Macaca mulatta: one gene and its partner. The protein of the gene in region 2 binds, or shares a complex with, the protein of the main gene of each other region. Links are inferred from orthologs where the notes say so. Each region holds a gene or a part of one and is shown on either strand. Other genes may lie near its edges.

Region 1 (15,736 bases), on a different chromosome or scaffold from region 2:
GGAAAGAAGAAGATGGGGTTTTGAGGAAAGGACATCCACAGAGAGAGAAGGAAGTATACAATACATTCTTATGAACTATGGTCATCAGGAAGATAATTTTTTTTGTCAATTAAAAAAATAAATAAGTTAAAAAAAAAAAAAGAGGGAGGAGGAAAGCCACCTCTGGGTTGAAGAGCTGAGACCAGGTCCTGGAGGCGTTTCTGCTGAAGTAGAAAGGGCAGAGGGCCAGCCCTCATCTGGGCCGGTCCCTCTATACAAGGGGACTGGCAACAACTCTGTCTCAGAGAGAGCCAAGCTTAGCTTGTGTTAAAGTGAAGAAAATCAACTGGCATGGCCCTTGGGTCTTACCTTCCACCGTTTCAGACCCAGGGGTTCCCAGGAGGGTCTGAGCTTGCCTCCTCCTTTAGCTTACTACTGCTTTGCCCCCACAGGCAGCCAGGGGTAGGCCATGGAGCTCCCAACTTGGACCTAGGCACAGCTGGACTGAGGTCTGGGAAGCCTGTAGGCAGACCCAGGGATCACGGACCGTCAGCGTGTCTGGCATTTGACAAAGTCCCTACCTTTCTGGGCTTCACAGGATATGCTTTTGCTCTGCAGGGTGGCTCTAATACCTGCGTATGCCTTTGGGGAGACGGACCTCTATGATCAGCACATTTTCACACCTGGTGGCTTTGTCAACCGCTTCCAGAAGTGGTTCCGGAGTATGATACACATCTACCCCTGTGCTTTCTATGGACGTGGCTTCACCAAGAAATCCTGGGGCCTTCTGCCCTATAGTCGGCCTGTAACCACCATTGGTGAGTGGGCCTTTCTGCTGGCAGCCTCAGTCTAGGACACAGGATCTAGCTCTGAGGCTGAACCTCAGCTCTGACTCTGCTCAGAGGCAGGGAGGCTGGCTAGGATGAGTGGCAGCTTTTTGAGGTGAGGATGGGGATAGTCTGGGCTTGAGGCCTGGGGCCTATTCTGAGGAATGAACTATTCTGATGCTTTTCTCTTTTCCTTCATTGTCTCCCCTGGCAGTCGGGGAGCCTCTACCAATGCCCAAGATTGAGAATCCAAGCCAGGAGATCGTGGCTAAATATCACGCACTCTATATTGATGCCCTACGTAAACTGTTTGACCAGCATAAGACCAAGTTTGGTATCTCAGAGACCCAGGAGCTGGAGATAATTTGACAGACATCCCCAGCAGCCTTCAGCCTGGCTGGAAGGTATGGACCCAGTGAGAACAGGAGGACAAGAGTCACCTATGGGCCTCCTGCTCCTGATTTGACCAGTCCTCCTTATGGGGAGGGCCTGTTCATTTGCTTGTTTTCTGCACTCCTTTTCCCACTTCATTTCTTTTTCCTTCCAGCTCTTTTCTGCCCTTTCTTCACAGCTACAGGAGACAGAGTCCCAAGAAACAGGGAAGAGCCTAGGGGAGAGGTGCCCTGAAGGCACTTTGGTGCCAGCATTGAGGAAAACAATGGACAAAATAAAAAGCCCATGTTCTGATACTGCGTGTGCACCCACTCCTCTGTTTCGAGGGCTCTGGGATCCCTGCGCATGTCTCTCCTTCTCTAGCTGTCAAACAGCCCCATCTCCTGGCATTGAGCCCCATCTCCTGGCATTGAGTCCTACTTCCTACAGGAGTAGGACTGGGACCTGCAGAGCCAGTGGGCTTTGAGTTCAAGCTCCACCAACTTCAAGCCACGTGACTGTGGGGCAATCAGTCATCTCTGAGCCTCCTTTCTTCGTCTATAAAATGAGACTAACAATCTGTCCCCTGCTTACCTCAAAGGCTGTTGGGAAGATGAAACAATATTGGATGTGATTGAACTTTATACACTGGAGAGCTACGTGAACCATTTTCTTTTCCAACCATCTTCCTCATTTCCTGTCCCTGAGCAAACAATGCCCTAAATACCCTCTGCTACCCACTAGCCCGCACTCAGTTTCCGCCTCATAAAGCTATAACAGAATAGGTTGGACTCAGGCCTAATTTTCTCTGTTGTTCCCTCAGCAACTTGCCTATACTTGCGTGGCCCTATAATTCTGCCCTTTGTTTGAGAGTCAGCCAGCCTGCTCAGGATGGAAATGAGGCGCCTAGCTTTTAGCAGCCATAAAGAACTCTCCTTCTGAATGGCAAGTCTCTCAGACTCTTGGTCTAATGGCTGTTGCAATGACAGGTTACAACATTTGGCTCACAGCCCTCTCATTCCATTCCTCTTGGGTGGGTGCCATTTGGTCCAGTGATTTACCTGCATTACGTTCGTCAGTTTGGTCTACAACATCCTGCGTGTTTACTGCAGTGTGAGCTGCTGCCTCTACCCTGGGTGCCTGCCTCATGTGATGATTTGTATACAGTGGCCAGAGACATGCTTCTGCTTTTCTGCTGTCTTTGTCACTTGTTGTGCCAGAGATTACATTTTCCCTGAGCTTCCATAAAGTGTTTTTAAACAGTCTGCAGCTTTCCTGTGACTGGTTTCCTTAAAAAAAACAAAACAAAACAAAAAAACTCTAAGGTGGCTAGAGGACCAGCCTGGGCTGCAACACCCAGCCCATGCATACCTGGCCATTGCAGATTTGTCGTGGTCTACTGTGTGCACATTGCTCCACCTATACGATGGCATGGGGGTGGGCCCGGGGAAGCCAAAAGATTGGTGGGGGCCCGGGGCGAAAGGTGCTGGGATTGTGAAAAGCGCCAGACCTCTCTTGAGCTACGTGTTCTTGAGCTGCTATCGGGTCTTCTTCCTGTGAGCCTCTTCCCTATTGATCTTAGCTCAGGATGGATGGAGGGCAAAATAGGCAAATACTACTTTTCCAGGTAACAGCAGCCTTGGCTGGGAAGGAATCAGACCAGGCTGACACACTTACTAGTTGGGTAACTCTGGGTGAGTGACTTAAATTCGTTAAGTGTTGGTTTCCTCATATGCAAAATGAGCTGGAGGCTGGGTCTACCCAAGCTATTTGGGGCCCAGGCCTGAAGTGTATTTTGTAGATGCCACATTCTTAAGCTGAGAGTCAGTTCTGTGTATTGCTGCCCCCGGACAATGTTCCTTTTGGCAGGACATCTAGCCTGCTTGTCATGTGGTCACAGAAGACCTAAGGCAAGCTTGTCTACCCTGTGGCATGCGGGCCAGGACGGCTTTGAATGGGGCCCAACACAAATTCATAAACTTTCTTAAAACAGTATGAGAATTTTCTGTGACTTTTTTTTTTTTTTTTTTTTTAGTTCATCAGCTATCATTAGTGTTAGTGTATTTTATTTGTGGCCCAAGACAATTCTTCTTCTTCTGACCTAAGGTAATGGGGATGTGGGAGTGTGGTCTGAGGCACAGAGAGGATGTGGGATGTTCCAACAGGAAATTCAGACCATCTTCCTTCTGTTGCTGCCTTTGAAATGGGTGCCTTGGTCCTTCCCCTAGCTCATGTGTGGCGTCATTTGCAAAGAAGCACTTAACATGTAGGAAGTGCTCACGCGGATATCAAGAACAGATAGGGAAAGCGCTTTATTTGCAAAGAATAAACCATTAATTTACACAAACTTACATCCCAGTTTATATACATTATATATAGTTTATATACACAGTATCTCACACTGGATGCTGACCCCCAAAAGCAGCATTGGGCCTGCTCCAGGCCATTCTCACAACAAAGCCCACCCCCTAATATCAGAGCTGGAGGAATATAGAAATGACACACCCCGAGCCCTCCTGGAGAGAGACCTGAAATGGATTAAAAGACAAAAATCAGCTTTATTCTTTGTGCTCACAGGGCCTAGAGAAGCCTCCAGGCAGGGATGGGTCCTGAGGCAGCATTACAGTAGCCTAAGGACTTGCTGGTACTGGGCCAGTCTCCTGCTTTCCAGTCCAGAAGCTAGAGCTGGGAGAATGCCTTGAGAGGAGGAAGAGTTCTGATGAAGGCTGCAGCTACTCCCTGCCTGGCCAGGCTCCTGAAAGGGCCAAGTACTTCCATCCTGGAGTTTGTGGGTGGAAGAAAGAAGATGGCCATGTGGGACAGGAACTGCTTTATCCCCTCAGTCTGCTGACTCTAGAGGTTGGGGCTTGTTCACCACTTGGGGCAGGTCATCTTCCCTCTCTGGGCCTCAGTTTCTACATAAGTAGCAGGGTGGAATCTAGGTTGGGCTAGATTCCCTCTAAGGGCCTTTTTAGCTCTAAATTTCTCTGAATCTATTTGCGTCCACAGGAAGTTACATAAACACACACGCTCATACATGGATCAAAGTCTTTGTTTACCTCCAGGGTTCCTAGCTCTTTCCTGTTCAGTAAAAGAAATTTGGCTCAGGATGGACGAAGCGGGAAATAGGCAAATACTACTTCTCCAGGTAACCAGTAGCCGAGCAGCCTCCACCAGCTGTCTTTTGTGCCAGCTTGGCTGTTAAAGCCCAAGTAGCTGGCAGAGACTCCTGCCATGCAATTCTCCTTCAAACCTCTGTCATCTGCTTGCCCACAAATGTCCTTGTCCCATTCTCCATGCTAGCATTGGTCCTCTGGCAAACTCACACCAGCATAATTCCAAACTGTACATCTATTTGCACATTCTCTCATCAGTAAATTGTTTTGTCACTTTGCCGCCAATGACTTAGCAGCAATAGGGCTCCCCAGCTACCTATTGCTTCCCTCATCATCCCTTGCCCCCTGGAGTTCCTTTGGAGGGTTCAGAATGAATCAAGGGTCCAGTGGAGATCTTATTTCCTTTATCATCCCCTCCATGTCCGGAGAATAGAATGGTATCAGGATGCCCTTTAGGGGCACAATTAGGAAGACTTTTCCTCCTCTCTCCTCACATCTTTCTGGCCTCAGAACCAGTCCTCTTTCAGGTCTTCCCTCCATCCCTGAGAGACCCTGGTAGTATCAAAGTCTCTAAGGTATGGTGGAAAGAGATAAGGAGTCACACTAGTAGTTGTGGGAAGCAAGCTGGCTCCTGTAAGCTGTCTGTAGGGTAATGGAAGGAGGACCTTGCCCACAGTAGGGGCTCCACACATGATGGTTGGCTGGTTCCTAGGATGGGTGAAAGAACATAAAGGCCACCAGCTCTGTGGGTCCCAGAGGCCTGCTGCTTCAACAAGGTGCCAGAAAGATTCTTCTGAACACAAGAGCTCTAAGGTTGATGGCTGCTTCCCAAAGGAATGCCTGACTCCTTTTGCCACAGAGCCCCTGGCAGCCAAGAGGACAGGTATTACCGTCGAGGAATGAAAACGGGCATCTCTGGGCTTCTCCCTAGAGCCCTCAAGGATTTCAGTTCCAAATTACCACTTTTATTCGTTCTCTCTAGACCTCAAATTCCACACAGTGCTGTGGTATAATGGAACAACTTTGGAGTCAGACCTGGCTGAAGCTCCAGGTCTGCGGCTTAAACTGGTCAAAACGCTCTGAGAGTGCTACCTCACTAAGCCTCATCTAAACAATGATGTTTGTCATATTATCAGCCTTGCCTTCCTCAAAAGAGATAATAAAGGAGAAATTATTTTCCAAATATGAAGGAGAGGTTCTTGTTGGTTTCTGCTACAACTGCAGACTGTCCAAGGCACTTTATAGGAGTTAGGGACAGACACATGCCTGGAGTTCACCTCACCTTCGGTTGCAAGGCTGTTGTTAGCAACCAGACAATGGAGGCCTAGCCCATCACCTCTCACCCTGACCCTTGAAGGGCCAAGCAGTGTGGTTGCTTAGAAAGGGAAGGCACAGCTGAGAAATAAGTACCCTCTGTTCTCGATGAATTTCAGCTGCCTGGAGGAACTTATTCCCCATCTCCTGAAAAGGAAACATATTTCAGAAACAAGAGGAGCAGACTGTACAAGGCTGGCCTTCCCAGGTTTGGGCTGGACCTAGCACTCAGAAGCCAGGCTGAGCCAAGGCACTTTGAAGTAAGGCCCTCGAGGGTCCTACCACACGATCTGGTGGGAAGCTTGGGGTTTAGGGGAAGGTGCATTTGGACCTGAACTAGGGGGCAGATCCCTGCTCAGTGCCTAGACACTGGCTTCTCCTGAGTCTGGCTTCACAGGAGCAGCATGAGCATCTGTGGTGACCATGCTCTGCTATGGCTTTTTGAAGCCAGAGTGAAGAAAGACTGGGTCAGTATGGCATCAGCAGCTGGCCTTTCAGGTAAGGCCTGGCCTAATGTCCACTTGTGTTGCAGCAAACTGGAACAAAATCCCTCTGTCCTATCCTCACCCCTTGCCCTTTCTAGGCCAGGTAAAAAGGCTCTGCCTTGCTAATGCCCAGGAGCAGCCTAGGGTTTGGGAATTTAGAAGGCTGTGGTGAGGGCCACCTGCTAAGAGTCACAAGTACTAGAAATTGAAGGGACTTCTGGAGGTCATCCAGTCCAACCCTTTGTCTCCAGACAGAATTGATTAGGAATGGATGAAAAACATTTGTACTGTTTAATAAACGAAAAATTCTCTTTGTGCCCAGGTAAGCTAAAGAATATCCCAGACTCACATGAGCACAGGTCCCAGGTTAGGCACCTGTCTCAGACAGAGGTAGGCTCTGTGGAGAAAGAAGGCAGGAGTTCTAGTCAGGCTGGGAATGGGGGCAACTAGGTGACCCCAGGGAGTTTTCTGAGTGTGGAGCACAGCTGTAAATAAAATGAGAGACGTGTGACCCAAGTACGGATTCAGGGTCTTATGCGGGCAGGTTTGTGGCCATTCCCTGTGATTGTTCCAAGGCAGAGCAAACTTCCCCTTCCCAAAGCCCAGCAAGCTGCCACAATGTAGCTGTCAGCCGGAGTGGGAAGAACACTCCGACCCTCCTGCAGGCCACAGTATAGAGCAGAAAGAACATCCCCACTGCCAAGGATGCTCTCTTGGCAGGTTTCTCTCATGGTCTCTTGCCAAAAGCACCTGCCTTTTCCCTCTCTGGCCTTCTCAGGCTGCAATGCTACCTTCCCACTCCGCCCCCACCACCACCCTACCCAAGAGAGGAGCAGCAGCCCCTTGGGGTCAGATGTCCACCCCCAGAGTCTGGAGTGCACCTCTGCTCTCTCTGGCCTGCTGCCCTGGATCCTCATTTTAGTGCAACAAACAATAGATCTGACAACAGGGACCTCGGGGTTGAAGAGTCATGCCATAAGCCAGTCAACATGGAACCAAAGAAGGTTCTGCTTCATGTAAACCCTGGGGCTCCATCAACTGTCCTGTTAACTCAAGGTCATTCTGGAAAGTCAAGCAGGCCTTGTCACCCTGGAGTCACTGGGGAATAAATAGCACTGAGGCATTTCTCTCTGTGGCTGCAACACCAATATACCTCACTCCACAGCAGCACTTAGAGGTTCTGGGAGTCCTGGCTCCCAAACCCAGGGAAGGGGCACGGACAGAGGCAAAATGGGGGGAATCTAGGATGCAGGGGCTTCACCCAGCCTGATGGCCCCAAAGAAGGTGGTGTGCTTGCTCATGTTGATGGAGATGTCAGCGTGCACCATCTTGACGGCGATCTTCTGCCGGGCTTTGAGGAGGCAGACGCCTGCGGTATAGCAAGTGTTGTAGTTGGTCTTGCCCGTCTCGATGCTGCGTGTGCACTGCAGGAAGGGCTTCTCATCCACCACCACCTCATAGCTGGCAAAGTCAGTGAAGTTGATGTAGTATACCTGAGTGAGAGGCAACAAGAAGGGATTGGGGAAGAGAGGAAAGAGAGGGTGGGGGGCCCTCCCTGTGGTGAATTGACAGAATCTTCTCAGATGAGCTGCCAGCATACCCCATGGATGGGGCAGTGCCATGTGAAGGCGTGCTAGCTGGCCAACAGGAAAGGCAGGGTGACAGGCGGATGCATTGCCCTTCCCCTAGTCCATGGGGCTCAGCTGGTTGAGCAAACCTTTCTTACAACAGCACACCTGTCGTAAACTCTGTAAGGCTAAGAACCATGCCCTATTTGCAGCTTCACCGTGTCCCTGTACCCCCACCCGCCCCTGCCCCAGCTCTGACACAAAGCAGAGTGCCCTGCACATAGCAGGTGTGCACACAGTGCCGTAGACACAAACCGACTTCCACTCTTGAGCCCCGCGGACTATTTGTGGAGAAACTTAGAAGTCACTGATTCCCCAGAGGGGTCATATAACAACTTGCGATTTCTTCAGCTCCTTAACAGAAGCTTATTCAGCTTGCACCACCCCTCCCCTGTGCCTGGACTCCCCTCACTGATTCACAGTACCCCTTGAGCCTCCCATTTGATGATTGAGGAAACAGGTCCAGAGAGATGGAGAGCTAGCTACCGCAAACAAGACAAAGAATTTGGAAAAGCCCAGGCCCCTGACTTTGTGGCCAGAAGGAGGCACTAACTTATGCTCAGTGGCCTAATGTCATGGGGATTTTCCCAGCCTGCATGGGCCACTCTCAATTCTCTCCTAGGCTCAGAAAATTAATTTTTCCATCCTTCACTACCCTTATCCATCATACCTCACACCAAGTTGTGATCTGCCCTCCCCCACCACCGCCCCCACTGCCCCCACCACGTGGAGCTTGGCTCATAGGACATCAGGGTTATGCCCATGTGCCCCATGGGTGTTGGGACTCTCAGATATCACTGTAAATCTTTTTATGAAAGGTCACTCCCTCCATCAGCTCTTCAGCTGGGAACAGCATATTTGGGTGCCACATATGGATCAGGACCCAAGCTACACCGGGGTGCTCAGTGTGCCTAGCAAATGCTTGTTAGCCCACCTTTGCTGGCCGCTCTCCTGTGACACCCATGTGTTGGTTCCATAGTCCTTCTGCCCACCTGCCTGCTTGCTGCCCACCCCACAAAAGTCCCAACCTCATGGCTCATCTTCCTCTATCTCCAAGGAGCCATCCCCATGGAGGCAAACAATCGGGGAATGGAAGTAGATGGACACTGGCAGACTTGGGGAGCGGGCCCAGGGCAGGAAGAGGACAAAAGCAGAGGGAGAAAGGGCTGGGAGAATAACAGCAGGAAGGAGGCAAGAATAGAGGAATAGAAAGATAGGGAAACAAATGGGAGAAAGAGGAAGGAAAGACAGTCAGAAATCTTTTTGAGGTAGAAAGAAAGTCTGCAGGAGCACTATTCATTATAACGCCCGAGCCAGCAGTGTTGAGGGGAGGGGTTCTCAGTAACCCTGGAACTGACTTTCAAAGAATATACTGAGACCAAGTTCAAGTTTGGCAGTGGAGCCAAACAGCTCGGATGGTAAACAGGGGCCTGAGGCCCTGCAGGAGGGAATCAGATGGCAGAATGTAGGAGGGGCCTTTTTCACAGTTTTTCAATAATATTTGGCTAGGGAAAAACAAAACAAAACAAAACAAAACAAAACAAAACAAAACAAAACAAAACAAAACAAAACAAGCTGGCCTCCTCTCTCTTTCCTTCTTTCAACTCCCTCCCAGTGCGGTCCCCCCACCCCCTCACCCAAAGCAGGAAGTTAGCCATTGGATGGTCTTGGCTGGCTCCACAGTGCCCCTATGTGGTCTGCACCGGATCTGCATTCTGGATATAAGAAGAGTTAGGCCTAAGACCGTACTCACTTCTACCTGACTATAGATGAAGTAGGTGCCGTCCACCAGTACCTCCAGCTCCCCGCTGCGGGGATGTAGCTTAAACACCTTGGGGTTCATAGTGATGCGAGACCAGTCATTGAGCACTCCACCTGAAAGATCTCAGTATGAGAGAAGGGCAGTCACTCAGTACATGTCAGAATAATCGAGGCAACAGAAAATAAATACCAAGGAGTTCACGACCCCCAACCCTATCCCAGTGCAACCAGGGTAGCCTAGAAGGCCAAACTTTAAGAAGAGCATTTGAAAGCAGAGAAGCTGTTCTGTTTGTAAAGCAGCTGCCAGGCCTGCTTCAGGGCTCCTGGGCTCCTGTCTGTCTTTATACTTCCTTTCTTGACCCTTGCATCTGGAAGGGTCTTTAACCATTACCTTCTAGCTGGAATTTGCCGGAGGAGGATGAGAGTGGGCATGCTGCCCTATTTTCTTTGTTGTTATGGGGCCTGCACAGGCAAAATTCAGACACTGAGTGGCAGGCTAGGTCTTATTATTCAATTTTACTTTCCCAGTCAGAGCTCCTGAATTCCTCTTGTCTCATAGGTTCATGGGTTTTCTCTTTCTCCTTAAGAGATTCTTTTTTTATGGTTCTTCCACACCCACAGCTTTCTGGAAAGCCTCCCTGGGAGGAAACCACTCAGCCCACTGTCTATCTGGAGAACCTTAGGGATTAGAGATGATTCAGACTCCACGGCAGCTGGGGCTACTGACCACCAGTACCAGGGCCCCATAGGTGAGAGGGATCCTTATGAGAGTGAAAGATAGACTGGCAGGCTGCAACAGAGCCAGCCGGGAGGATAGGAGCCGAGGCACCCTTGGCAAAACATCTGTCTCAGCTCCACCCCAGGCAGGGGTGGAGGGGCAGTCGCATTCCTTTGGACAGTGGAAGCCAGCGTGTGAGGGTGGAGGAAAATCTTCTCTTTCCATCCTGCAGAAAGAGGAATGTTCCCTCCCACCATGAGAGGAGGACATCCAAGCCCAGGGAGCCTTTTCCCTTCTAAGTCATCCATCCTGCACCCAAGAAATTATATTTTGTAAGTCCATCTTTGGTCAGTTTCAGTAGGCCTGTCTCTCTGAGGGATGAGGAAACAGGTTTTCTGGAAAAGGTGACCATCTTTCCTTGAGGTGGTAAGTAGACGGGCTGGGAGTTAGGAGGAACTGCCCTGGCTCTGTCCCATCAGTGGACCACTCTGCATGACGTCCTCCAATCCCTGACCCCATCACTTCTTCTTCTTCTTCTTCTTTTTTTTTTTTGAGAGGGACTGTCACGCACTCTGTCACCAAGGCTGGAGTGCAGTGGTGTGATCTTGGCTCACTGCGACCTCCACCTCCCGGGTTCAAGTGATCCTCCTGTCTCAGCCTCCCGAGCAGCTGGAATTACAGGTGCGTGCCACTATGCCCAGCTAATTTTTGTATTTTTTGTGGAGACGGAGTTTCACCATGTTGGCCAGGCTGGTCTCAAATTTTGGCCTCAAGTGATCTGCTCCCCTCGGCCTCCCAAAGTGCTGGGATTACAGGCGTGAGCCACTGCACCCCACCCCCATCACTTCTTCTGGTAGTACTAAGGGTCAGCACAGACCACTTCTGAGGATTGGCCCAGAGGGGCTGGAAACAATCCTACTGTGTGGCAGTGGGAGCAAAATCAGTGGCTGCTGGCACAGAAGAAACACTATCTGTCTAGATACCCAAACAAATCTATTTTGGCCTGTCTCTGGCCTCCCTGGACAGGTGGGGATCATGGCCCACTCAGGGCCTTGCGGTCCCCAGCAGGACCAATTGGGTTTTGGTGCCATTCTCTTCCTATTTACACTTCTGAGGCTACTAAGTCAGACATGGAGGTGGCAGTCAGGGAAGTAACTAAATACAGTCATTAAGGAAACTCAGTACAGCCAGTTCAGGACTGACTGAGTTCTTAGAAACTGTCCCCAGGTAGCTGTTTTTTTTTTTTTAACCTTCCTTTACCGTTTCTGTACTCAAAACCCCTCCCTTCCACTCCAAGCTCTGTAAGCATCTAGCATTTTGGTTAGCTTGCTGCTTCCCAAGGCTCCTGGGGGTTCACGCATTTTAGGCTTTGTGCACTCTGGGGACTGGACATTATTCCAAAGTGCTGTTCTTTCATGAATGTTCATGTCTCTTTGGGGGAAGAAAATGAACCTTATCATTCAGTGGAGTGTACATACATATCACTGAAGTAGCATAGGGGAGAGGAAAGAGTCAGAAAGATGTAGTTTTGAATCCTGGCTCCTAAACGAACTTGACTAAGAAATATTGGGAAAGTTAATTAACCTCTCTGAACTTCACTTTCTGTCTTTGTAAGAAGGAGCTCATACCTACCTCATAGGGTGGTTGTGAGGACTGGATGAAATTAAAGACAAAGAAAGCATGCTGAAAACTCTAAAGTATCATACAAAATGAGGCAGCATGATTTATTAATGTATTATCCAATCTCTCTGGGACTCTGTTTCCTCATCTGTTAAATGCGGGGATTACGATAAATCAGTGCTTCTTAAACCCATTAAACACATTCTCCCTTTTGATAGACACTAGCATCTTCAACCCCCTGGAGATTCCAACATGCCCCACTTGCCCTGAGAGAAGCAGCCCGTCTGCCCATCTGCGTAGATCCATCAGACAAGAAGAATTTAATTTTACATTGTTTTACTTTCTATAATTTGTATTGTGAAAATATTAATCTAACTACACATATCTCCGTGGTGGCTCTGATATAAACTCCATCGCCTGAGAATGCCTGGGCTAGATGATGTCTCAAGTCCCCTTTCAGCTCCGCAATCAGTGATTCTAAATGCAATTTGGGTGTAGCAACTGGTCTTGATGCTAGCAATTGCTCAGGACAGCCAGTAGAGGGCATGATGGAGCAAAGAATGACTTCGTATGCCAAGGGTACCTCAGGGCCCTGGGAGGAACTAGGCTGGGTGATTATTTGGAGGTTGGGGAGGAGGAAGGGGAGAAGCTCCTCTTTGGGAGAGAGCCTATTTTGATTCTTACCATTCTTGACTTGAATTGCTGACCCTTGGCCCTGTAGATGCACCACAGCTGGCTGGCAGGATGAGAAGGATAGAGAGTAGTCACTATGAGTAATGGCTGCTTGCTCAGTCACCGGTCCCATGTTTCCATCCTGGTTTCTAGTCTTCTATTGTAATCCAATTCTGATCCCTCTCCCCTCTCTTGGGATGTTACTGACTACGTTTCTACTAGAGGGTAGTATGATTTTGTAGCTCTACCGCTTGCTAGCTATGTGACCTCAACCAAATGTAATGCCTCTGAGCCTCATTTCCCTACCTGTAAAATGGGGATTATAAGAATGTCTGGCCTCTCTCACAGGGATGTCTAAAGATCAAATGAGGTGATGGATATAAAATTGCCCTGCAAGCCGTCAAGCACTGTGCAGCTGTGTAGATTTATCACTGTGGCCACACAGCTGTGGCGAGGGAGGCTGAGATGAGACAAGGCAAGGCAGCAGAACCTGCCAATAGAGACAGATTAGGAAGCTCAAAGACTGGGAGGAGCTCTTCAGGCCATTAAGGCAGACGCCCAGGCTAGGCTGGGCCTGGAGCTGGCTGGCTGTTTTTCAAGGACATACTCTTCAACTCTTCAGGTCCGGATCCCAGGTGGTCTGAGAGCCGACAAGGTGTCTGGGGTGGCTGGGGAGTTGGAGGCTCAGGTGAATAGGTCTGACTGGCAGCTTATTTCAGCTGACTACTGGGCCTGGCTATGGTGACCCTGGGGTCTCCTGTGGAATGAGGAAAAATGATCCTGGCAAGACACCCTTTCCTTAGCTAAAAACATGCCCTGGGGCAAAGCTTTTCTATTCATAGAGATGGGAGGGGGCTGTGAGTGAAAACCCTCAGAATCTCCAGGGTGTTCTCATGAAATAAAGCCTCAGGAAATCTAATAAGAAGCTAATTTAAAGGTGGCTCTAGCCTGTGGCTTTCCTTCCTACCCAAGAAGAGAGCAATCCCCAGCCAACCTGGTTTTCTCGAGTTCCAGCTTTATCAGCAGCACCTGCAAAATAGGACAGGCCTATCAGAGGGCATAATCTTTTGACTTCCTTTTCCCCTCACCTGAGCAGCTAGTGGTGGTGAGCCGTGCTCCCTGCAGCCAGCCCTGTCTGAGCTTTATTCTCCAGGGCTTAGAGCTGGAGGAAGAGTCAGAGTGCACCTCTTCTGTTTCCTGCCCCGACCTTCATCTTCAGTGGGCCCAGCACCCAGCAGGAAAACTTCTGAGTATTGCCTCTGGCCAATATTAGCCCAAGGCAAGCCCCACCAGGCACCCATGGAGAACAATGAGAGGGCATTCCTGTCACTGTGTGACCCTGAGACAATGGCATTGGCTTCTCTAGCCTTTCGCTCCCTTTCTATCAATTTTCTTCATAGAGCCCACTGCTGTTTGTAAATATCTTGTTTCTTTGTTCTCTTTTCCTCTAGGAGATAACCTCTATGAGAAAAAGGACCATGTATCAATATGTCTCTTTGTATACAGAAAGCGCTCAATATTTAAGGAATGATTGGATGAAAAAAAATCCCCAACTCCATCTCTTGTGGTCATGGTAACACTGCTTAGCCCTGTGTGAAGTACAAGTTAAAGAATCTGAATCCTGCTGCAGAATTCTTGCCCCTGGAGAAATCAGCTGTAAGGGTCCATTTCTTTAAAGCCCCAAGATACAGGGCGGGGGAGTGGGGAGCAGGGGGAAGAAATAACAACTGACATAAGCCCAGGCAGTCTGACTCTTGTCAATGCAGGTTTGGATCTGCATTCATACCTTTCAGATGCCCTTCAGGCATCTGAAGGAGAAAAATGCAAAGGGGTGAAATGACATTTGAATGGCAAGTGTGGTAGGGTAAGGATCTAGTGCAAGAAGCACTTGGTTCCTGGATGGGACAGCCTTGGTGCCTGGGTTTGCTTTATCCACAGACTGAGTGACTCTTAAGTTTCCAACTTCTTGACCATTAGTGACTACTTGCTATGGGAAAAGCACTTCAGACTTCATAAGATGAAACTGTCCTAGGGCTTGTCATTTTGTTCAGTCCTCAACTTTCCACTCCATAGCCTGTTTCTATGCAAACATCAGCATGTGGAGCTAGATGCAGGGAATCAGAGAAGATTAAATCTATTCCCCACTGGAACTCCAATGAACCACCAGGGCCTCTGTCTCTGGCTCATATGAATTTTACTGGTCCACTACAGGGAGGCCAAGAGTCAGGGAGGACTTGTGATAGAAGGGTTGAGATGGGGTAAGAACAGGTGGCCTGTCCTTGACAGGTTGGTAGATGTAAGAAGCTAGAGCAGGTCAGGCCCTACTGGCTTGTTCAATTCCTAGTTTTACACTGGTCTTGGAGAGCTGCATCCCTCATTGCACACCAACCCCATCTCCACCGTTTGAAACTGCTCTCAGGATCACCCACTCTTGCTCTCCTAAAGTACTTGTAAGGCACCTGGTGGGGTGGAAAGACAGGGGAACTCACCAGAAGGTCCCTGGAGGCCAGGGGGTCCTTGAGGACCAGGAGGACCTGGAGGACCAGGTGGTCCCATAACCGTTGTTCCTGGAATTCCAGGAATCCCTGGAATTCCTGGGGGTCCCTGGGGTCCTGGAGGTCCTGGGGGTCCTGGAGGGCCATTGGGTCCAGGAGGTCCTGCTTTCTTTCCTGAAAAATAGGGTTCAGTGTTACTTTTTTTTTTTTTTTTTTGAGATGGAGTTCTGCTCTGTTACCCAGGCTGGAGTTCAGTGGTGCTATGTCGGCTCACTGCAACCTCCACCTCCCGGGTTCAAGCGATTCTCCTGCCTCAGCCTCTGGAGTAACTGGGTTACAGGCACGTGCCACCGTGTCTAGCTAATTTTTGTATTTTTAGTAGAGATGGGGTTTCACCATGTTGGCCAGGCTGGTCTCGAACTCCTGACTTCGGGTGATCTGCCTGCCTTGGCCTCCCAAAGTGCTGGGATTACAGGCGCAAGCCACCATGCCTGGCCTCAGTGTTGCATTTGTAGTTATTTCCTGGATGAGTGGACTGTCAAGAGTTCTACAGACTTCTGAGGACACAAAGTCAGCTCTCTGGGAGTCCCTGCTAAAGAGTTGGATACCTTTATCACACAGCTCTGTCTCCCTGTCTCTGTGTGTCTTGTGCTTTCTCTCCCTTCCCCCCACTCCCTTTTGTGAATACGCATTTACAAAGCTAGGTTTGAGCATCTAGAAATAAGTGGCCCTCCAGGAGATCAGTCTGT
Region 2 (16,636 bases):
TTTTTTCCTTCATTTCAACTTTGGTGAATCTGGCAATTATGTGTCTTGGAGTTGCTCTTCTTGAGGAGTATCTTTGTGGCGTTCTCTGTATTTCCTGGATTTGAATGTTGGCCTGCCCTACTAGGTTGGGGAAGTTCTCCTGGATGATATCCTGAAGAGTGTTTTCCAACTTGGTTCCATTTTCCCCCTCACTTTCAGGCACCCCAATCAGACGTAGATTTGGTCTTTTTACATAATCCCATACTTCTTGCAGGCTTTGTTCATTTCTTTTTCTTCTGTTTTCTTTTGGTTTCTCTTCTCGCTTCATTTCATTCATTTGATCCTCAATCGCAGATACTCTTTCTTCCAGTTGATCAAGTCGGTTACTGAAGCTTGTGCATTTGTCACGTATTTCTCGTGTCATGGTTTTCATCTCTTTCATTTCGTTTATGACCTTCTCTGCATTAATTACTCTAGCCATCAATTCTTCCACTTTTTTTTCAAGATTTTTAGTTTCTTTGTGCTGGGTATGTAATTCCTCCTTTAGCTCTGAGAAATTTGATGGACTGAAGCCTTCTTCTCTCATCTCGTCAAAGTCATTCTCTGTCCAGCTTTGATCCGTTGCTGGTGATGAGCTGCGCTCCTTTGCCGGGGGAGATGCGCTCTTATTTTTTGAATTTCCAGCTTTTCTGCCCTGCTTTTTCCCCATCTTTGTGGTTTTATCTGCCTCTGGTCTTTGATGATGGTGATGTACTGATGGGGTTTTGGTGTAGGTGTCCTTCCTGTTTGATAGTTTTCCTTCTAACAGTCAGGACCCTCAGCTGTAGGTCTGTTGGAGATTGCTTGAGGTCCACTCCAGACCCTGTTTGCCTGGGTATCAGCAGCAGAGGCTGCAGAAGATAGAATATTGCTGAACAGCGAGTGTACCTGTCTGATTCTTGCTTTGGAAGCTTCCTCTCAGGGGTGTACTCCACCCTGTGAGGTGTGGGGTGTCAGACTGCCCCTAGTGGGGGATGTCTCCCAGTTAGGCTACTCAGGGGTCAGGGACCCACTTGAGCAGGGAGTCTGTCCCTTCTCAGATCTCAACCTCCGTGTTGGGAGATCCACTGCTGTCTTCAAAGCTGTCAGACAGAGTCGTTTGCGTCTGCAGAGGTTTCGGCTGTGTTTGTTATTGCCCTGTCCCCAGAGGTGGAGTCTACAGAGACAGGCAGGTTTCCTTGAGCTGCTGTGAGCTCCACCCAGTTCGAGCTTCCCAGCAGCTTTGTTTACCTACTTAAGCCTCAGCAATGGTGGGCGCCCCTCCCCCAGCCTCGCTGCTGCCTTGCCGGTAGATCACAGACTGCTGTGCTAGCAATGAGGGAGGCTCTGTGGGTGTGGGACCCTCCCGGCCAGGTGTGGGATATGATCTCCTGGTGTGCCTGTTTGCTTAAAGCGCAGTATTGGGGTGGGAGTTACCTGATTTTCCAGGTGTTGTGTGTCTCAGTTCCCCTGGCTAGGAAAAGGGATTCCCTTCCCCCTTGCGCTTCCCAGGTGAGGCAATGCCTCGCCCTGCTTCAGCTCTCGCTGGTCGGGCTGCAGCAGCTGACCAGCACCGATCGTCCGGCACTCCCCAGTGAGATGAACCCAGTACCTCAGTTGAAAATGCAGAAATCACCGGTCTTCTGTGTCGCTCGCGCTAGGAGTTGGAGACTGGAGCTGTTCCTATTCGGCCATCTTGCTCCGCCCCCCCCCCCCCCCCCCGGTTTGTTCTTGCTTTTCTATTTCCTTGAGGTATATTGTTTGATTGTTAATTTGTACTCTTTCTCCTTTTTTTGGTGTAGGTGTTTGTTGCTGTAAACCTACCCCTTTGCGCTGCTTTTGTTGTATCCCATCAGTTTTGGTATATTGTTTCTCCATTTTTATTTCTTTGAAATTTTTTAAAGTTTTTATATTAATTTCTTTTTTATCCAGCAGTTATTCAGAGCATTCTATTTAATTTCCATGTCTTTGTATAGTTTCTAAAGTTCCTCATGGTATTGATTTCTAGTTTTATCCATGTGGTCTAAGAAAATACTTGATATGATTTTGGTTTGTTAAGTTTTATTGAGACTTGTTTTGTGGCCTAACATATGGTCTATCCTGGAGAATGTTCCACATGCTGATGAGAGAATGTATATTCTGTAGTCAGATAGAATGTTCTGTAAAGATCTGTTAGAGGGCCGGGTACGGTGGCTCACGCCTGTAATCCCAGCACTGGGAGGCCGAGACGGGCAGATCACGAGGTAGATCGAGACCATCCTGGCTAACACGGTGAAACCCCGTCTCTACTAAAAATACAAAAAATTAGCCGGGTGCAGTGGCGGGCACCTGTAGTCCCAGCTACACGGGAGGCTGAGGCAGGAGAATGGCATGAACCTGGGAGGTGGAGCTTGCAGTGAGCCGAGATTGTGCCACTGCACTCCAGCCTGGGCAACAGAGTGAGACTCCGTCTCAAAAAAAAAAAAAAGATCTGTTAGGACCAGTTGCTCTAAAATTTAGTTTAAATCCAGTGCTGCTTGATTTTCTGTCCAGGTGATCTATCTAATGCTGAGTGGGAGAGATGAAGTCTTTGACTATTACTGTATTGCATCTATCTCTCCTTAGATCTAATAATATTAACTTTATTTTTATGAGTGCTCCAATGTTCTAGACATACATATTTAGAATAATTATATCCTCTTGCTGGATTGATCCATTTATCATTATATAACAACCTTTTTTGTCTTTTTTTTTTTTTTTTTTTTTTTTACTATTTTTGACTTAAAGTCTATTCTATTTCATAAGTACAACTATACCTGCTCAATTTTGTTTTTCATTTGTATGGAATATGTACATCACTTTACTTTCAGACGTAAAGTGGTAAGGTGAGTTTCTTGTAAGAAGCGTATAGTTAGATCATGCTTCTTAATCCATTCAGCTATTGTATATCTTTTAAGTGGAGAATTAAATCTGTTTGTGTTCAAGGTTATTGATATGTGAGGTTTTGTTGTCTTTTCTGGTTGTTTCATATATTCTTTGTTCCTTTCTTTTTCTCTTATTGATTGTTGTTGTGGTTGGTGGGTTTCTACAGTGGTACCATTTCTCTTCCTATTTTATGTGATTGCTTTACCAGTGAGTTTTATACTTTCATTTGTTCATGATGGTAAATGTTGTTATTTTGCTTCCAGGCTTAAAATTCCCTTGAGCATTTCTTGTAGGAGTGGTCTAGTGGTAGTGAATTCCCTCAGCATTTGCTTGTCCAGGAAAGACTACTTCTTTTTCATTTATGAAGGATAATTTTGCTGGATATAGTATTCTTGGCTGACATTTTTTTTCTTTCAGCACTTTGAGTATATCATACCATTCTCTTCTGGCCTATAAGGTTTCTGCTGAGAAACTCACTCTTAGGCTGATGGGGTTGTCTTTCTTTCTTTTTTTTCAGATGGGGTCTCACTGGGGTTTCACTCTGTCACCTAGGCCAGAGTGCAGTACAGTGACATGATATGGGCTTACTGCAGCCTCTGCCTCCCAGGCTCAAGCAATCCTCCCATCTCAGCCTCCTTAGTAGCTGGGACCACAGGCACAAGCCACCATGCCTGGCTAATTTTTTGTATTTTTGGTAGAGATGGGGTTTTGCCATGTTGCTCAGGCTGGTCTTGTACTCCTGAGTATGAGTGATTACCCATCTGAGCCTCCCAAAGTGTCAGGATTACAGGCATGAGCCACCGCACTCGGTCAGGGGTTTTCAGGTAACCGTATGCTTTTCTTTTTAGGATGCTAGCTCTTTTTAGGATTCACCCTTTATCTTTGACTTTAGACAGTTGGACTATAGTGTGTCATGGAGAAAACGCTTGCAGAATGTATATTCCTGGAGATCAGTGAGTCTCCTGTATTTCAATGTCTAAATCTCTAGACTTAGGAAGTTTTCATCTATTATTTTATTAATTAAATTTTCTAATATTTTCTTTGTCTCTTTAGTCTCAGGGATATTAATAACTCAAATATTTGATCACTTTGTGTTTTCCCAAGTGTCATGAAGGCTTTACTCATTTTGTTTTATTCTTTTTCTTTTTGTCTGACTGGATTATTTAAAATATTCTGTCTTCAAGTTCTGAGATTCTTTATTCTCCCTTATCTAATCTGTTTTTGAAGTTTTCAAATGTATTTTATACTTCCTTCAATGAATTCTTCGGTTCTGGAATTTCTATTTGGTTCTTTAAAAAAAAAAAACCTATCTCCTTGGTAAATTTTTCATTCATATCCCGTATTGTTTTCCTGATTTCTTTGTATTGTTTTTCAGAGTTCTTTTGTATATCACTGAGCTCCTTTAAAATCAATATTTCAAATTTTTTATATGAGATTTCAAAAATTTCTTTTTGATTAAGATGTATTGCTTGAGAATTCTGATGTTCGTTTAGAGGCATCACATTTCCTTAATTTTTCATGTTTCATTTGTCCTTAAGTGGATCTCTGCACATCTGGTGTAACTGTTGCTTCTTCCTGTTTTTGAAATTTTCTTTCATAGAAGAGGATTTTTTCCTAAAGATATATCTATGGTTTTGGTTTAGTAGGGTACTTTGGCTTTGATTCTGGATGCATGTAGTAATGTAGTCTCTGTATAATTTTGTAGGCTGTAAATAGTGTTGGTGGCATCCATGATTTCCCCACTGGGTTAGGGTGAAGTTACTAGTGGAGGCTGTGGTGAAGTTGTACTAGGGATTGGGATGCCAGATGGGCCAGTCTTCAGGCCCTAGTGATGACAGCAATGGGCTAAATGTGCCCATTTGTGCCCAGGGCTGTATATGCTGGCATCTCTGTTGGCAGTTATTTGGCAGGCTGATTTCTGGGCCTCCAGGTGGCTTGTTCAGTTGCTGGTAGTGGCAGCAATGGACTGGGTGTGTAGGTGGGTTTTGGGGCCTTTGGGCAGCTGGCATAGCATGAGCGATGGCAGCAGCAGGAGCAGGATGATTGTGTGGGTCCCAAGTGGTGTGCATTGATGTTGGTGGTTGCTGTGATGGGCTGGGTGGGACAATCTCTAGGCCTTCAGGTGGCACTTGCAAGGAGGTGCCAGGTGACGTGATGGTGGCTGGGAGTTTAGGCCCAACCATAGGCCCCAGAAAGAGTGCTCAGGTACCCAAGGTGGTGGATTGCCTTGCACAGTCCCCAGGACCCCAGGATATGTGTCCTGTCTCAAAGAGGGGGGCAAAGCTGGGCTGTGCAGGTTTGTGCTCAGGCCTCTTGGTGAGAGCAAGAACCACCATTGGGGGCCAGGGTAGGGTGATCCTCAGGCCCCAGGCAGAGTGCTCAGGTAAGAGATGCTAGCAGCTGTGCTGAAGTGCTACGACTGAACAGAGTGTGGCTGTGCTCTGTGGTCACAGCCTGGGCTGGTAAGTGGGAATGTATGTCCTTCCCACAGTCCCAGTGGGGTTTGCTTTCCAGCCTTGACAGTGTTAGCCCATGCCTGTCTCACGCTCCCACCCTGGCTGCGGAGGCCCCATTTCAGCTGGTGAGCAAGTCCCAGCGGCAGCTTACACCCTTTCAGCATCCTAATCTCCGTCCCAGCAGCACCCACTTCCTGGCATCAGCAACTGCAACCCTTTCCTTGTTTGTTTCTTAGCCCTGGCTGTGGGAGTGCTCACAGCTTACTCCCTATTCCCAGCAGCAGCAATCTGGGTTTCTGTAACACCTCAGTCCCAGTGCCTCTGGGCCCCAGGACAGCATGCAGTCTACCCACGGCTAGGTTTGAAAATGGTGTCTTGCTGTAGTTGCTTAGGTCTCAGACAAGTGTGGGATCCAGTGCAAGCTCCATCTTTGGAGCAGTTCCATCCCACGGTCTCCCGGCAGCTCCCTATGTTAGCTTCAGTGGTTGGGAGGGTTGAGGGGGTCTCATGGCCAGGATTACATGATTTCATGGTGGGGATCTGGGCCACTGGAAGTCTCTCATTCACCCTTTCCCGGAATTGGGAAGTCAGTCCCAGCTCCTAGTTGATCCTGGCTAGGCAGGCTGCTTGTCTCCCTTCTCCTTCCCTGCTTTTGGTGTTTCCTGCCACTTCTCTGTTGAATTCCAGTGTTCTCTATTGGATAATGTATTCAAAGTGTGACTGTCTACACACTATGTTTGTTCTAAGTGGAAGAGGCTGACATGAAATGCTTCTGGTAGCCATCTTTGTCTGTGCTATTTCTAATACTACATGCTGTACCTAGGTAAATTCCTCTGGGAAAGTTGAGACCCATGTTCACAAAATAAAGAAAAAGGCCACAAGGTTACAAGAAGGGTCACCCAATTCCTCACGGTTATTTCATTTATTCATTTGTTTGCCTTTAAACCTACATTCATGGCTCAAAACCATTATGCAAACTGGAATTCTCATATTACTATTGATTTTATTTTTCCTTTACATTTTCGTTTTTTAAACTTCCTATCTGTTACTTGTCAAATCTCAGTAGAAGTACACCTTCTAACAGAATAATACGGGCCCTGCATTTTGAGATGATAGCAAATGTTTACAGAACAGACAAAATCGAACTTAACAATAGACTTCAAGTAGACCTAGCCTGAGAGCCAGTCTCTCCAAACTTCCCTTTTGCTCAAACATGGCTAAAGGGTTTTGACACTGACTCCTAGTCACCATGAAATCCCTCCAGTGTGAGACCAGACCAGCCACCTAGGACAGGTCTATCCTGGCACCAAGGAATAATCAAAACCTAACTACGGGATGGCTCATCGGGGATGCTCTCTGATAAAGATCTTGATCAAATGGGGGAAATGTGAAAGTTGTCAGTATTATAAAGGAGTCACTTGTGCCAAAAACAAAAACAAAAAACAACCCTGACAAATAGAGCCACGGAAGGCCATGAAAGAAGGGTTCTCCTAGATAAATGACTGATGACAAGAGCCATCACAAGACTCTGAAAAAACCAAAACCTTGCGCAAAAGCCATCACAATCTTAAACACACACAAAGCCTCCTGCAAGGACCTCTGCCCAACAACTCCCTGTCCAGCCTTGGACTGGCACCACCCTTATTGTTGATCCTTGCAGCCAAGGATAATTGTCTCAAAATAATTATGTAATCCTTCTTATTTTTCCTTTAAGAACTGTTGTCTTCCTTTACCTCTTCAAAAACACACGTAGTTTACTATGGCACATGTATTCCCATTGTAATGCCCTATTCCCCAATACATATCATCATTTTCTTTTAGAGAGCCTCTCTCTGTTATCTAGGTTGACAGAGATGATGGAGTAGAGCTGCCCCAGTTAAGGTATTCCAACAGGCAGAGGCCCCAGTTGACCCACATTCAACTGAGCCCAACCTAAGTCAGCTGACGGACCCTCTACTAACCCCCAAGCTATGATAATAAATGCCTGTAGCTTTAAGCCATTGAATTTTAAGATAGTTTGTTACACAGAAATAGATAAGTGATACAATGCCTTATGTGCTAATAACAGCAACTTGGAAAACAATGCTCCAGGTGGTTTTTACATGATCTCCTTGTAATGTTTGCTTCTACACTAGAAGTTCTAGCGTTCTACTTCTAGAACACCAGACGTTCACTAGAGCAGTGGACTCTAGTGAATGGCCCAGGCCATAACATTTTAGGCACTGTGTTTATAGCTGGTTGCAATCCTACAGTCTCATCACACATAGTGCAATAACCAGGAACAGAGCAATCAGAACCTTCTGCACTCACCCACCGACCCACCACCCCAAATACAAAGAGCTCATATTACAGCAGTCTATAAATCTTATTAGTGTGTTTATTGAGATTATAAAATATAATAAGTTATATATATACAGAGTTAGACAAAAATATTGACAATTAAGACTTCACTAAGGGCCACAGACCTACCCTGGGGTGTTTTCTAAATGTTTTAAAGTATTGCAAAGTAATATCTCCACACAAAAATGGCAGGATGGAGTCCCAGCTTTGTTCAGTGAGAATTATTATGATCTCATTGTTCTGAATCCCATAACAAAGGCTAAAGCTTGTCAGAGTAAATCCCATGTTTCCAAATAAGTAAATGACAAGAGAATGTGTAACTATATAAGGAATAGCTCCCTAAAAATGGCAGGTGGAGAGCCAGTGGAACATGAGCTGACACTGGCTGGCCTTACAGTCCCAGAATTCCAAGAGCGTGAAATGAGGCCAAAGCACCAGGAGCAGAGAACAGCCACCCTACTCCTTCACTGAAAACATTCTGAGGAGGGTACAAGCTGTTATCCTGGAACGGCACACTCATCACAAGTGACATTTGCAGTCTAATTAAAGGGAGACTCATCATCATTATCACAATGCAGGGGGAAGGGGGCACCACAGGATTTCAAAGAGGAATTAAAAGGATAATTAAGCTCTGCCGTGGAGTATTTAGCTTGCAAGATAAACCAAATAGGTTCTGAAAAACAGCAGCAAACAGACACAGTAAATGATGATATTAAATATTCAGGACCTCATTATGATCCTCTCACAGTATGTACTACATTCGTTGGTGGGAAATTGCTTATTGGTGTTAAAGATATGACTGATTTTCCCCCCAAAGCATTTTTTCAGTCATGCAACTTGTCATTTTTACAACCTCGCTTTATAAGTCAGAAACTTTGTTTTAATTTAGTAATAAACACAGTCAGACCTGCCATTAGGGAGCTCAGCAGTGAACTCTAAATTAACCCCTGGTGTGATCACTAGCCTGCCTCCTGAGCTCTTGGCAGTTACAGGGATAGTACGAGAGTCTGCCAAGAACAATGCCAGATTATTAGCTTTCTGCCTATAAATGTTATGTCAAACCATTGCAGTTACTGTGAAAATGCCAATTCTGAGTTTTTCTGTTTTAATTCCCATTTAAACGGACAAACCACACTGTATTCACTTCCATAGAGCACCTCAAAGGCCTGGCATTTCCTATAGCTCCACTTTCTTTTTGCTCACCTGAACCCTACCTGCCCCGATTATAGAATCACTGGCTAACATCTCATTTGCAGAAGAGAAACTGAGGTTGAGAGAGGAAAAGACAAGACCCAAGGTGGCACTAGAAGCCAGCTCCCTGGACTCCAAGCCCAGGCCCTCATTTGCACTGCAGGACTCCACTTCCCCTGACTGGCTCAGAAGGCTGAGTCTGAAACTCTCATGCCATGAGGCTAATCTACGAGTCTCAGATGAGCTCTTGAAATCTAGAATTATGCGTGGCTGAGCTCTTAGGAAGTCATCATTTCTCTAATTACAGTTGACTACTCATATATGTTTGAAGTGAAAACACAGCCTGACACGTTATAATTTAAATTGCTGTGTCCTTGAGCATTGCTGCCCCTAAAAGGTCAAATCTGCCTAAGGCTGAGAGTGGAAGGCCATTCACATGTAATGCAAACCACAGGGTACCCAGGCCAAAGATTCATGCAGTAAATGGAACTGGCTACTGCACACATCCAATTGCTTGGACAAACACATGCCTTGCATATTGGTTTTGTATAGAGTGAGCTCTTCCGTTATTGACTGGAAGGCCTGTAAGAATATGGATGACCTCAAGGATAGGTAAAGTTATCCTAATGAAACCACATAGGGTGTTAACAGACTTGTACTAAACCTGAAATAATACCTGGAGCAGGGTGTTTGCATTTTGTAGCCATTTTACCAAAATGTTTGAGCTGCTTCTTCACTAGGATGCCATCCTTCATCATCCCAGTAGGGAGTCATCTCCCGCGTAGAACTTCTATTACATTTTCTAAGTGCCCCTTCATTAGCTTGTTTGATGTCTTCCAGTGAAGTGGTTTGTAAACATACGTTCCTTCTGTCTTCTACTGGAGTGCAAACTCCTTAAAGACAGGGACCAGATTCTTCACTTCTGTCAGTCCCACGGGGTTTGGTTCCTTTGAGTCCTCAACATTGTCTCATTGTTCAGTGAGTTAATGGTGGGCTGGTGGGCTCGCTCTATGAGTGAGTGGATATTTACTCTGCCTGGTGAAGTACAGGCGAGCATCTGAAAGTAGCCCAGCTCTAGTCCTTTATCTTTGGTTAAATTGGAAGACAGGCCTTATTTCATCTGGCTCCTTGAACATCCTAAGGCATATGGTGACATCACAAAAGCCTTGATTCTTGGCAGTCTTTTGGCACCACTCACAGCTCCAGAGCCCTCATTGATCCTTGGCTTGTCCTGGGAGGACAACCCACAGGCATGCTTTTCAGGATGCAGCATGTGGCTGGGAAGCAGGTGGCACAACCCCCGCCCACTCCAGTATGTCTGCACACAAGGACTCCACAGCATCCAGCCGCTCAATCTGTACCAGTTTTGTGAGCAGCTCAGGGATGCTGTAACCTGCCGTGCTGATGCGGTCGAAGAGCTGCATGCCGTCTGTCATGCCCCCAATCTCATCCCTCTTCAGGCCGAAGCTCTCGGCGAGGTGGCGCCACGTTTTCACAACAGCCTTCTCAGAGTTGTACGTGGAGCTGAGCATTCGGCTAGTTTTCTCGAGGCAATCAAATGGCAGCTCCGTGGGGCTAAGACCTGCAGACACCAATGGCCACAGTTAGATGTTGCAAGTCGCAGTCAATAGAAGGTCAACACTGTGAAAAATTATTTAAATGAAATAAAAATTATTGAAAAAAACATTTAAAAAATTGTAAAACAAAGCATGCAGAAAGCCACCTAAAACAAACGCATAACTTAAGGCAAACGACACCTAGAACACTGCCAGCCACAAGAGAGGGCTGTGCATGTACCCTAACCCCGGTAATAGCCCCTTCCCCACTAGGAAAATGACTGCTCTATTGACCATGATAATAATTCCCTGATGACCACTTTTAGCAATTCTCAAAGACTTCAAGACAAGTTATCCTTAGTTGGGTAACCCTGTCTCCCATGGGGCTGGGCTGAGGAGGGGGTCAAAGAGACAGTATCGTGTCTCTTTAGGGAATAGTAGTCAACTTTGTAATGGGTGCTCTCAATGATAGCCCCAGATTGGGGTTATCTGAACCAAGTCACTGCCAACTCAGTGGTCTGATGGTTTTTGGGGTTCACGGTACATTAGACTCACCTAGGAGCATTTAAAAACTTGATATGGCTGCTTCTGGAAGATGAGTAGATATAATTTTCCCTAATCCTCCCACTAAGTGCAGCTAAAAGCCCTGAACATTCCGTATAAAACAAATACAAGAAGTCTCTGAAAAGTGGAGAAAAGAAGATGGACCAACTAGGGACCTCGATACCTAAGGATGGTGATGGTGGTGAGTTCCCTGGGTTTTCTTTTGCCTCATAAATTCCAGACATGGGGCAGAAAAGTCCAAAAATCCAGAAATAATAGCAACCACAGACAAAAACAGCCCCAACAAAAGTCTTCCCTCTCTAGTCAGAGCACTAGGAAAAGAGCAGCCTAGCAAGCATAAAACATTTAGACAATAATTGCTCTATTCCAGCCAAACACCACAGAAAAACTGTGTCCCCACTCCATCCAGGGTAGCAAAGACTGAGTGGGGAGCCTAGACTTCCACCCTCACCAAGCTGTAACACTGTGCCAGGTGGTGTCAGGAAAGGCCATGTAGAGAGATGGGGCTTTCTCATCAACCAGCTGGTAACAACTCCTCTGCCCCTGTGGTGACCATGTCAGGAGCCATACTCCCAAACCCGAAAAGCAGTAAAAAGGAGTCCCTTGGGTGTTAGTGAAGGTTGAGTGGGGAATTTGGATGTCTACCTTCACCTAACAGTAGCAAGACAGCACCCTCATTCTCCTGCCACAGGGCTGCCTATCGAAAGGAGCCAGCTAAAATGGAAGGCTTAAATAAGACCCAGAGTTTCATATCAGGACATAAAACTACACAGGTTTCAAAGTGAATTCACTCATCATACCAAGAACCAGGAAGATGTCAAATGAGTAAAAAAAGAAAAACAATAGATGCTAACACTGAGATGACAGATGTTAGATAATCTGAAAAAGGTTTTAAAGAAGCCATAATAAAAGTGCTTCAACAAGCAATTATGAACATGCTTAAAACAAATGCAATAATAGAAAAACAGAAATAGAAAATAGAAAAAAATAGAAATCCTCAGCGAAAATATACAAAATGTATAAAAGAAATGAAAATATTAGAACTAAAAAAATACAATAACCACAATAAAAAGCTCAGTGGATGTGCTCAATGGCAGAGTAAAGACAGAGGAAAGAATCAGTGAGATGGATAATGGAAGCTAGCAGTGGAAATTACTCAATCAGAGAAAATAAACTGAAAAACACAGAGCCTTAGGGAACTGTGGGGTTATAACAAAAGAGCTAACATTTGCGTCATGAAGTTTCAGAAGGAGAGGAGAAGAGAGTGGGACTAAAGTACTCAAATAAATGATGGCTTAAAACTCCCCAAATTTGTAAAGAGATACAAGTCTACAGATTCAAGAAGCTAAGCAAATCCCAAACAGGATAAACCCAAATATATTCATGTCAAGATACATCATAAATGAACTTCTGAAAACTAAAGACGAAGTCTTAGAAACAGCCAAAGAAAAACAACGCCTGACCTAGAGAGAGAAAACAATTAGAATGACAGTAAATTTATAATCAGAAACCTGGAGACCAGAGAGAAGTAGCACAGTATTTCCAAGTACTGAAGGAAGAGAACTTTCAACCCAGAGTTGCATATCAGGTTGCAGTGAGCTGAGTGAAAATATCCTTCAGGATGACATGAGAATATCAAGACATTCCAAGCCAAAGAAAAATTAAGAATTTTTCACCAGCAGACCACCCTAAAAGAAGCAAAAGGAAATTCTGTAAACAGAAAGGAAATAATAAAAGAATGAAACTTGAGACATCAGAAAAGACAGAAAAGAACATAGTGAGCAAAAATTCAGGGAAATAAAATAGACTTTCCTTCCCTTTTTAAGTTTTCTGAATTATGTTAGGCAGTTGAAGCAATTTATGTTTTTCTAAATATATGTAGAGGAAATATTTACAACTACTATAAACAGGGAAGGTAAAGGGACAAAGAGAAAGGTAAAGTTTTTATACTTCATTCAAACTGGCAAAATAATAACACCAGGAAGGCCAGACACAGTGGCTCACACCTGTAAACCAAGGACTTTGGGAGGCCGAGGTGGGCAGTTCACCTGAGGTCAGGAGTTCGAGACCAGCCCGGCCAACATGGTGAAACCCTGTCTCTACTAAAAACACAACTGGTTGGCATGGTGGTGCACAGCTGTAATCCCAGCTACTCGGAAGGCTGAGGCAGGAGAATCACTTGAACCTGGGAGGCGGAGGTTGCAGTGAGCTGAGATTGCGCCACTGCTCTCCAACCTGGGCAACAGAGCAAGACTCCATCTCAAAAATAAAAATAAAAAAAAATACTAATAACACCAGTAGACTGATAAGTTGTATGTGTAAATGCAATCTCTAGACAAACTACTAAAATAACTATGGAAAAAGATAAAATCAAAACATATCACTCAAAAAACACCAAAATCAAATTCTGAAATATGTTCAAGTGACCCACAGAAAAGCAGGAATACAAAAACACAGAAATGAAAAACAGAGACAACAAATAGTAAACAAAATATAAAATAGCAGACTTAATTAAGCCCTAACATAATAATGACTACATTTAATGTCAATGGTTTAAATACCAACTAAAGGCTGGGTGTGGTGGCTTATGCCTGTAATACCAGCACTTTGGGAGGCCAAGGCAGGTGGATCAGCTGAGGTCAGGAGTTTGAGACCTGCCTGGCCAACATGGTGAAACCCTGTTTCTACTAAATATACAAAATTAGCTGGTGTGGTGGTGCATGCCTGTGATCCCAGCTACTTGAAAGGCTGAGGCAGGAGAATTGCTTGAAACTGGGAAGCGGAGGTTGCAGTGAGCCAAGATCACACCATTGCACTCCAGCCTGGGCAACAGGAGCGGAAACTCCATAAAAAACAGACAAACAAACAAAAACCTAAAAGGCAGAACTTGGTAGAGGAGATTTTAAAATATACTCAGTTATATGCTGCCTACAAGAAACTCACTTCAATATAATGAGAGAGGCTGGTTGGAAGTAAAAGGATGGAAAAATACATATCATGCAAACTTTAATAAAAGGAAGGCAGAATGGCTATAACATCAGTTAAAGTAGACTTCAGAGGAAAAAAATTACCAGAAAGTGACATTTAATAATGATAAAAGGGTCAATCCAAGAAGACATAGCAATCCTAAATGAATATGCACCAAACAACAGAGCTCCAAAATATGTGAAACAAAAACTGATAGACCTGAAAGAAGAGATAAGCCCACAATTATAGTTGAAAACTTTAACATTCCTCCCTCAGTAAATGATAGAACAATTAGAAAAAAATCAGCAAGAATATAGAACTTACCAACATCATCAACCAACAAGATCTAATCAACATTTATAGAACACTCCATTCAACAACAGCAGAATACACATTCTTTATAATTATGGGCCTTACACCTCAACAAATTAAAAGAATTGAAACTATACAAAATATATTCCCCTACCACAATATAATTAGAATTTAAATCAATAACAGAAAAATCTTTACACATTTGAAAACTAGACAACAGTCTTCTAAATAATCCACAGGTCAAAGAGGAAGTCTCAAAGAAAATTTAAAAATGAATGAAAATAAAAATACCAGATGTCAGTATTTGTGAGACACAGCTGAAGTAGTACTGAGAGGAAAATTTATAGCAGAAACACAAAGGAGGAAATCTCTTAATAATCTAAGCTCCCATCTCAAGCACTTAGAAAAAGATTAACAAAATAAACCAAATGTACATAGAAGGAAATAAGTAATTTAGAAATAAGAGCAGTAATCACTGAAATTGAAAACAGTAAAGTAAAAGAGAGCAATATGAAAAGAAACAGTTATTTGAAAAGATCAATATAACTGACAAGGAAAAAAATAGACAAGACACAAATTACCAATATCAAGAAAGAAGCAGGAGATGTTACTACAGACACCATAGATATCAAACAGATAATAAGGGAAAACTATGCAACTTTAACTCTATACATATAAATTTGACAGGTGAAAATAAACAGTTCCTCAAAAAACATAAACTATCACAACTTACCCAATGTAAAACAGATCATTTGAACAGACTTATAACTATTAAGGAAGCTGAATGTGTAACTGTAAAAATCTTCAGCCAAACGCGGTGGCTCACGCCTGTAATCCCAGCACTTTGAGAGGCCGAGGTGGTTATGTTGCTTGAGGTCAGGAGTTCAAGACCACTCTGGCCAAGATGGTGAAACCCTGTTTCTACTAAAATACAAAAATTAGGGCCAGGCATGGTGGCTCACGCCTGTAATCCCAGCATTTTGGGAGACCAAAGCAGGTGGACCGCACGGTCAGGAATTCAAGACCAGCCTGACCAACATGGTGAAACCCCATCTCTACTAAAAAATACAGAAATTAGCTGGGCATGGTAGCATATACATGTAATCCTAGCTACTCAGGAGGCTGAGGCAGGAGAATCACTTGAACCTGGGAGGTGGAGGTTGCCAGCCTGGGACAGGGTGAGACTCCATCTCAAAAAAAAAAATTAGCTGGGCTGTGGTGGCACGAGCCTGTAATCCCAGCTACTTGGGAGGCTGAGGCAGTAGAATCGCTTGAACTTGGGAGGCAGAGGTTGCAGTGAACCAGGATCGTGCCACTGCACTCCAACCTGGGTGACAGAGCAAGACTCCATCTCAAAAAACAAACAAACAAAAACTCCCCAAAATAAATCTTTAGGTCCACATGATTTCACTGAAGAATTCTACAAAATGTTTAAGAAATAATTAATAGCAATTCTACACTATATTTTCTAGACATAGAAAACTTACTCTGTGAGGGTAATATAAACTGGATACCAAAACCAGACAAAGACAAAAAACAAACCACAAACCACAGACCAATATCTCTCATGAATATAAATGCAAAATCCTTAACAAAATATTAGCAAATGGAATGCAACCATATAAAAAAGAATTGTACCACATCAGGTATGGGAGGCAAGGCTGGTTCAATATTTAAAAACTACTGTAATCCACTCAAAAAGTTAATGTCAACAATTTATAAAAAGCCTAGAGCTAATATTATACTTAATGGTGAAAAATGGAATGCTTTTAAGATCAGAAATGAGGCAAGGATTTCTGCTTCTGCTTCATCACTTACATTCACTGTAGCGCTGGAAGGTGTAGCCAGTGCAATAAAATGAGAAAAGGAAGGAAAAGGTATACACATTGGAAAGGAAGAAATAAAACGGTCCCATTTGCAGATGTGATTATCTATATAGAAAATCCCAAGGAATCTACAAGAAGACTCCCAGATCTTATAAGTGAATTCAGCAAGGTCACAGGATACATGATAAACATACAAAAATCAATTGTATTTCTATATAGCTAACAATGAATGTATGGCTACTGAATTTAAATTATCATTTACAGCTGCTCAAAAAATAAACGATATACTTATGATGTAAATCTAGCAAAATATGCATAGAACTTGTCTTTTGGAAACTACACAATGTAGATAAAAAAATTTAAAGTTGTGCTAAATAAATGAAGAGATATACCATGTCCATGGCTCAGAAGATTCAACATAATAAAGATGTCAAATCTTCCCAATTGATATACAGTTTTGTTGCAACTCATTAAAATCCCAGCAAGGCATTTTGTACATATAGGGAAGACTATTCTAAAACTT

What was found.
Region 1: the proteins of EDAR (region 2) and EDA are in contact, whole or in part, in a crystal structure (PDB 7X9G), measured with the Homo sapiens proteins. The link is inferred for Macaca mulatta from reciprocal best matches to the Homo sapiens genes EDAR and EDA. Residues at the interface, in NP_071731.1 of Homo sapiens: Glu55, Pro56, Tyr57, Leu58, Lys78, Ile86, Arg88, Arg89, His90, Asp92, Glu94, Gly95, Phe97, Val134; in NP_001390.1 of Homo sapiens: Gln256, Ser258, Ala259, Gln261, Asp265, Asp273, Arg289, Tyr310, Tyr311, Lys340, Thr341, Tyr343, Ser370.

What each region holds. Positions count from the first base shown.
Region 1 is NC_133426.1:76,549,776-76,565,511, reverse strand, and holds the end of EDA (ectodysplasin-A), read right to left. Parts: intron 15,162-15,736; coding exon 14,982-15,161; intron 13,522-14,981; coding exon 13,487-13,521; intron 12,557-13,486; coding exon 12,505-12,556; intron 9,606-12,504; coding exon 9,475-9,605; intron 7,587-9,474; coding exon 7,335-7,586; 3' UTR 3,467-7,334; downstream 1-3,466. Other genes in the region: AWAT2 (acyl-CoA wax alcohol acyltransferase 2), read left to right, coding at 598-797, 1,021-1,175. UniProt on the Homo sapiens protein: Cytokine which is involved in epithelial-mesenchymal signaling during morphogenesis of ectodermal organs. Functions as a ligand activating the DEATH-domain containing receptors EDAR and EDA2R. May also play a role in cell adhesion.
Region 2 is NC_133418.1:19,476,011-19,492,646, forward strand, and holds the end of EDAR (tumor necrosis factor receptor superfamily member EDAR), read right to left. Parts: intron 10,471-16,636; coding exon 10,148-10,470; 3' UTR 7,719-10,147; downstream 1-7,718. UniProt on the Homo sapiens protein: Receptor for EDA isoform A1, but not for EDA isoform A2. Mediates the activation of NF-kappa-B and JNK. May promote caspase-independent cell death.